2 linked regions of the Arabidopsis thaliana genome follow. The protein of the gene in region 2 interacts with the protein of the main gene of each other region in a pairwise test. Each region holds a gene or a part of one and is shown on either strand. Other genes may lie near its edges.

The links.
Region 1: the proteins of NIK3 (region 2) and AT3G12180 interact in a protein complementation assay, tested with the Arabidopsis thaliana proteins (one large-scale study listed by BioGRID).

Annotation. Positions count from the first base shown.
Region 1 is NC_003074.8:3,881,481-3,885,402, reverse strand, and holds AT3G12180 (Cornichon family protein), read right to left. Parts: upstream 2,074-3,922; 5' UTR 1,940-2,073; coding exon 1,865-1,939; intron 1,384-1,864; coding exon 1,202-1,383; intron 1,117-1,201; coding exon 994-1,116; intron 894-993; coding exon 833-893; 3' UTR 539-832; downstream 1-538. Other genes in the region: AT3G12170 (Chaperone DnaJ-domain superfamily protein), read right to left, coding at 2,748-2,952, 3,045-3,135, 3,227-3,309, 3,396-3,502, 3,588-3,647, 3,729-3,830.
Region 2 is NC_003070.9:22,386,106-22,390,027, forward strand, and holds the start of NIK3 (NSP-interacting kinase 3), read right to left. Parts: upstream 1,662-3,922; 5' UTR 827-1,661; coding exon 721-826; intron 597-720; exon of another isoform or gene 340-596; coding exon 210-339; intron 125-209; coding exon 53-124; intron 1-52. Other genes in the region: ACLA-2 (ATP-citrate lyase A-2), read right to left, coding at 2,586-2,657, 2,742-2,858, 2,947-3,063, 3,159-3,260, 3,349-3,444, 3,528-3,609, 3,719-3,833.

The sequences.
Region 1 (3,922 bases), on a different chromosome or scaffold from region 2:
TCATAGGATGGATTATGGTTTTGATAAGGTAAGTGAATAAGCGCCTATTTGCTGGATTAAGTGGCATAGTCGTTGGGAGTTAATTAAGGACACCCACGGGCCACGGCCAAGTATGAAAATTGTAGTCTATCTATCTTGAATGATCTTTTCGCTTGGATTGACTAGAGTCTCTCGTGGTCCCAGACTCTTGCCCTAAAAAATCTAAATAAGGAAAGTTCCTTATTTAACCGGTTTAATGCCCGTAGTAAATATTATCGGTTTGTGAGATGGTCTGAGCCGGTCCGGATCGGGTCATAGGGGGTCTGGGACGTAATCAAGCTGGATAACTCTCTTGGGTTGGGCCGTAATCCTTCTTGGGTCGCTATTTGGTCACTATCGCAAAAATTGGCTCATATAAAAAGGTTTGTTGAAACATGCCTTGGTTTTTGTTCTTGCAGAGTTTCTGTTTGGGTCACCTTCTCCTCCTCCTCTTGGATGGACATGGATTTAAGGTCCACAGCGGGTTCAATTGCATCTCCGATAAACTAGATATCGGTGCGTTTTTCCACAGCCAGTCTATGTAATACAATGTAGCTTCATTCTTGATACATGATTTTTATGACTTCAATGATGAGACTGAACATTATATTGCGCAAAACAAAACTGATGAAACCCTCCATGTCAAACGATTTGTGATGAGTTTTCGGTAATCATACGTTATATAAAGCTACATGATGAATCCCTGAATGGCTAATTCTAAGCAGGGACGTAATAAAAACCTGTCACAATTTTCTAAAACACACTCAGAAAATAAAGAGAGAGTGGTTGATAACGCAGAGCGCAAGCGCATAAATCAAAACAAATGAAGTAGATCATCATCTTCCGTGAAGCTATAGACCGCAGAGAGAGTGAGCCTGCAAAAATGTTTTATGGACTCGGTAAGTAACTTCATAGTAGAAGAACCAAAGTAAGTGAAGATGTTAATAGGAAAGCTAAAGCTGTAGTTTTTTTTACCTAAAGACAACCATGATGAAGAGAAAGACGTAGAACCCGAGCTTGGTATACCGGAGCTTCTTTTCAAAGCTGATACCACGGAACACTTCAGTGACATCGATGAGATAACGTCGCTCTTTGTATCTGAAGAACAATGGGAGGCGCGTATTTAGTTTCCACGCATGTCAATCAAGAATCATAAGCAATATGGATGGATATAGATACTTACAACATTGCGTGATAGACTGTTACAGGGACGGCGACCAGAAAGAAGACCCAATGCCATGTGAGGAGGAAGAGAAGGCAGAGTGACCCTTGGAGGATAAACTCAGGTATTACTAATCGGTTGATACGGGTACTTGTTTCAAAAGGGTTCAAGTAATCAGCTTCTAAATCCGTTAAGCAGATAACCTACAAAATCACACACGATATCAATAGACTAAAAAGGAATCTCAATGCTTCAATCATTAGCAGAGGCAGTTAGTATGAGAGTAAACACTATTGGTAGTAGTATCTAACTTCATTCATTCACAGTATATAACTCGCAATTAATCAACTATATGTCTCAATTGACCAAGTATCATATACAAGCCTTGCAGACAATCCAAATCAGAACTAAGAACAACTTTGAGTTAGAAGCATAAGATTAAGGATAAACAATGAAACCTCTCTGGACCCAAAAAATTGTCAATTGTATTTAGTACAAAACCGACGAACACAAAGGAAAATTGTTCCATTCCTAATTTTTTAGCTAATTCGAACAAAAAGCTAAGTTGCTCGGTGTTTTTTCACAAGTACAATTCCGACAATCAGGATTTGAACAGTAAGGACAGATCTCGATTTAAGAATCTTAATGGAAAGTAAAAGGGGACAAACAAAGTAGATAGATTACCTGGTAGAAGACGGAAGCGACGAGAGCCAAGCTAACGAAGAAGGAGACTATCCATAAAAACAAATCCCAAGCCATATTTGCTCTCTTCAACAATTACGATTCGTCTTTTTGCGACTGCGACTCTTCTCCTTAAATACCTTTGAAAAAAAAAGAACTCTTCTTCTCTCAACAATTGGTGTACTTTACTTTGGGGTTCTATTGGACATTAGATTCTTCTTTCCTTTTTATTATTACTTCTCTAGTTTCTTTTTGTGAATATCCTTTTTGTTAAATTCCTTTTTCTTTTTCAACAAAAAAAAAAGATGCTTGGTGTTAATTAATAAAGAACTAACAAAATTTATTAACTGTATGCCATTTAGGCCTATACAAGCCATATAAGTAAATAATTTCATTTTTTTCTTCTCTTTTAGAATAATTATTTGGTTCTTTTAAATAAGTTCACTTGAAATTTGTTAGTTCTTTATTTAGGCCTATACAAGCCAAAGGATCCGTCCACTCTCCTCTTCCCGAGAAACTTGGTTGATACCGTACGTTTATATGTTACATTGTAACAAAGGCTTGTTTAGTTATCAACTGATTATGATGCATTACTCGACCTGATTGTTTTTGCAGGTGGAGAAGTCCTAGGACCCGGTGATAGAATTTCTCTTCTTCTGAAGATCCAGACGACATACACGTGGGACCCTGAGCTTTTGAACTGGTAAACTCACTGCTTTTTTTGTTGTTGGAAAAAAGACAAAAAGTAAAAATACACATTGTTTCCTAGCAAATACACATTAGTCTTCAACTTCTAAGAAGCAACAAATGTGATCTAATTTACGCTAAAAACATTGGTCTCCATTACAAACACGAAACCTAAATTTCACAAACTACTACATAATCTTTATTTTTTTCTAGACTTCTTCGATGATCTCCGGCTTTCAACTTTTCTCTGAGCAGCTTCGAACTCTTCTTCGTTTGGCTCAGAGTCAGCATTGCTACCATACCTAGAGACAAGTGAAGAGAACATTGAATCGAACTTCTCTTTCCTCTCATCTCCCCGCTGGGACATTACAGCGTATAAATCTTTATCTGCAGCCTTTGCTGCTCTGAAAGTATAGAAATTTTGAAACAGGTCACAACAAAGATAACTTCAGAGGGCATTTATTGGGGTGGAAAAGGTAGACAAATAGAAGCTTACTTCCGTCTCATCTTCTGGGGATTCGTGGGAGGTTCCATTTCTGCAATCTCCTTTGCCCATTTCTTGTAAGCTTTTGTTGATTTCACTTCTCCTGCAGATGTTAAACAATGGTATGCACAAACAAATCAGAACCTGGATAGGTTTTATAGACAAAAGAATTATTGCAAGAAAGAGAAGCCTACCCGCTGCAATGGCCTCATCGATAATATCTTTGAAACGGTGCGAATCAAGCTTGGGGTTCGAGCAAAGCATTGAGCAGAAAAGCCTGAAAGAGATATAGTACCAATAATGTTTATACAAACTTCAACTCACAAACTTGACAATAATGAAAACAAGGGGATGATTAATTACCTGCTCATTTTACCCTTAAACTTGTTATATAGCTCAATCAAATCATTCTTCTCGGATTCAGAACCCCTATAGTTGGCCTCAAACTCTTCAATATCTTCCTCGGTGACCTATAGCACAAATGATCAGTATACAGAACGAAACAGTTGTGTTGCAAAGTCCAAAAAGAAATCAATTGTGAATCATGATTCTTACCTTCTTGTACATTGCCTTGAAGAAGTCCCTCAAGTTGTCAACCACATCTCCCGAAAGATCCTAATGAGATAGGGAAATAACCAGTTTGTAAGAAAATCCTCCAGTACCTTTACTTAAGTTGAAAACTTTCTTTCAACTTACAGCATCATCAACTGAGCCAGTTTGATCATAGACTGCTCTTTTCTCTTCATCACCGAGAATCGAAATAACCTTTTGCAACTGCTGAAATTTCTCTTTAGCATCCTGTATTGGATAAGAAAAACAAGAATTCCGGTTACAATGTAAAATTGAATAGACCCCTAAAAACTAAGAAAAGTAAAGAAACCAAAACCCCT
Region 2 (3,922 bases):
AAGCAAAACAGAGAACAAGAATCACATATAGCAAAGACTAGAAAAATCTTACACTGATTGTAAATAGGTGAGGTTTCCGATTCTAGGAGACAATGTACCAGACAAGCTTTGGCTAGGAAGATCCCTGTTTCATTAAGAAAACAAGACAAGTCTTAAAGATCTATCTGGTTTTTTTAATCTAATATACGAGAAGAGAAGAGAAGACTCACAGTGAAGAGACATAGCCATCAGTGCAAGAAACCATTCTCCAGCTACAAGGATCAACTGAATTCACATCCCAATTCTCAAGAACTTTGTACGGATCATTCAATTCATTCTTCACAGCAACCAAAGCTGTCACTGCTCATTTCAGACAAACAAAAAGAAAGAAACTTCAGATTGAAAGAACAAATCTAGCCTCAAAACTCCTATGAATTATCTTATTGCTAAAGCTGCATTTTTCGAAATTGAAATCTTATCCAAGAAAAACCCAGTAAGCTTATATGCAGTATAGTTTCACAGAGAATGAAGTAAACTTGAGCTGCTATTGGCTAAGGTTATATGAGTCTGGTGAGCATTTAAAGCTGTGATATTTATTATCCAATAAAGAAACAAAAAAGAACCTAATCCACACAAACATTCACCAGAATTTTCGGAACAACTAAACAAAATAGACAAAACCAAAGATGATAAATTCATAGAGAAAAAAATTGAGATTTCTCCAAGAAGAAAAAGACTAACCTTCATAGTTTACACCAGTAGGAGAAAGTGTAGCAGAAGAGATATCAAAGAACCATACAAAAACCAGAAATCCTAATCTCCACACCACAAATCTCACACCTTCCATATCCCTTCTTAAAGCAATCAACTTTGGTCTGAACAAAAACAAGTTTCAAAGAACCCACCAACTCATTTTTCTCTCTCCCATATCTGAAAAAAAAACTTAGCTTTTGTCTACTTTTCTTCTTCTCTGTCTTTATTTAGACACAGAAACTAATTTGAGCAATCCATTTTCCAGCAATGGAACCTCTCTTTCTCTGTGATTTCAATTCAAAGGAAGTAAAAAGGAGAAGACCCCAATTGAAAAATGACGACTTGCAAGTTACTCAGCTTAGAAAGAGAGAATTTTTGAATGAAGAAACGATTAAGAGAATGAATGCTAAACGAGCTGTGACAAGAGATAGAGAAGAGAGAGAAAACTCTAAAAGTGTGAAGAGAATTTTCCCGAGAAACCAAGCAAAACAAAAGCACCAAAATGCTCTGAAAGTCTGAGAAATTTTCCTAGAGATCTGAAAAAAAAAAAGCTATTGAGTGATGAGTGATACTAATAGTGCTTCTTGGTTTATATTTTATATCATTTTTATGACTTTGGTAGTAGTTGTTATTGAATAACTAATCTCTATAACATTCTTAATTTTTTCAAAAAAGGTTTGCTTCTAATTCCACACCACTATTACCAAATCATCTAATCTCTCATCTGCCTACTCTTATCATTCACACCACCAATATAAAAAAGGAATTTAAAAATAATAATCATGAAAAGAAAGGGACCAAACAAGCAAAATCCAAAATGAAAATGCCAAAAAATCCACAAACACACACAGAAAGATACTGACAGAATAACAAGAAAAGAAGAGACTCTCTGTTTTTCTCACTTTTTTATAAGTTTTGTTAATTTATAAGCTTTTTATATAAAACAAAATTACTGTGAGGTAAAAAGAATAGTACATTTTTTTTGTTTATGTTTTCATGATTTCAGTTTGAATCCTTTTTATTTTCTGCTTTCGGACAAATGTTTCAAGAAAACACTTTAATATACAAAAATGTGATTAGATTGAAGAGATGGGTCACATAGATGATAAAAGAAAAAACATAAGAACAAGGACATCTCTCTCTTATTTTAATATTTTGCTTTTTAGAAAAAGTTACCGAGAAAAAAAAAAAGTTTTTTTTGATGGGCAGATCACGTTCATGGCCTGTCTCCTATCTTGTTGGCTTTTTCAGGCTTCAATTATTTTACCCCTTTTTGAGTTTTTGATTAAAGGATAACATAATACTTCTCTTTACTACACAAAAATGTAAGCGTAGACGAATTCGTTTACACAAATTTTGTAAGCGTAGATTATGTTTTGCCCACTTGGGATGGCTAAATAGATATTGCAATCTCTTTCCATGACCAGAAAAGGCCCAGCTCAATGAAAATATCCAGAGCTATCACTAAAAACGGGCCCTGATTAATAGAAAAATGGTCCAAATTTTTGAATAGCCAAGTCTAAAAATGGACATGTCTATGACTGTCGATATCCACTTCAGCAAATTGCTTGCATCGTGTGTAAAAGGCTTAAATGCTTCTGATTCCATATCGTTATTTCCTAGTAGAATTTTTGGAGTTGCTAGATAAAAGTTGATTAAATACGTTTTCTTCTGATCTAAGTCAAGAAGAAGATGAGAATCAAAAGAGAAAATACCAAGTAAGAAAAAAGAAGATACTTGTTCTTTATTTATGAATAGTAAGATACATTAGAAGTGAAACATAATCCAAACACGTCTCAAACTCAAGAGACGCTAAAGAGTATTTTGAAAGTAAGTGATAAGATTGTAAAGGCTTATGCAGCCGCTGTGATGTACTGGATTGCCTCCTTGCATATACCTGTCATTGTTGCTTCAGGACCATACACCTTGAAATCAAACAGACATGTAAAAACAGTTAGAAACTGATTAAGCGGGAATGTCTTGAGTTTATTCATTGTGTGTCTACATACCTCGATGGGGACACCGATTTCGTCTCCAAGTGATCTCATTTTAGCAAGTCCCTTTTGGTAGTTTGGTCCTCCTCTCCTCACAAATATATGCATCCTTGCTGCTTTCAGCTTTGCTTCCTGTAAACGGTTAAAGCATGGTTCATTTATACTTGTAGTCAAGGGGCAATGAAGTGTTTGTGGATGATTCTACTCTCTTCTTGCTTACTTTTTCCTTGAGAGCTCGGATTATGCCATTGAAGGTAGCAGCAACATCGGTGAAGTTAGCAATTCCACCTCCAATTACCAGAGCCCTGCTTTTTCCATCCGGATTCGCTGTAGCACACTGAAGAAGCAGTATTATCATTCAGCACCACGACCAAGTCAGGAGTGACTTTATTTTCAGATGCTTTATTGGCAGAAGTTAAAGCAGCATCTTACATCAATGACAACTCTGGCATACTGCAAAACCTCGTCTTCTTTGGGTGCTCCACTGTATTCAGCATAATTGCCAAGCTCAGATGCATACCCGAGATCTCCAACCTGGATAACATTTCAGTAAACACTTTAGAGGCTAAGGCTTCTAAGCAGAAAAATGCAGGAGATTCTCGGTGTTCATATAAAAACATACGGTATCAGCATAGATGACACTTGCACCTCCTCCAGCTACCATAGTCCAAATTCTTCCCTTGGGATTCAGAACAGTGAACTTCAAAGAGGCACTTGTCTGCATATACAAAAGGGTCATAAGTCATAGAGAAACTGGTGTTTCCAGAAGCGTCAATTACTCTACGCTTATTGGTATGATACCTTCTCATCTAGACCGTGGATGAAGCTCTCTGTTGAACTCATCACTCTTCCAAATGGCATGGGAAATTCAATGTCGCCCCACCTGCAAAACGTAAGAGGTTAATCATACCGCCCAAACTCTTGACTTATCATGACTTCTTAAAGCTCTTGACTTCGGAACAGTTGAAAAAAGTGGAAGAGTCAAAACTTACTTCTTAAAGTTTTTGAAAGCAGCGGTGTCATCAAGCTCACCCCTCATATCCAGAGGATAAGGCTTTCCATCAACCAATGTGAAAGGATTCATCTCCAAGAAAGTGAAATCAAGATCTGGTGTCAAAGAAAAAAAGAAGATAATAATAAATCTTCAGTTTTTGGTTCAGATGTCTTCAATTTGAATTAGTGAATATTTGGCATAC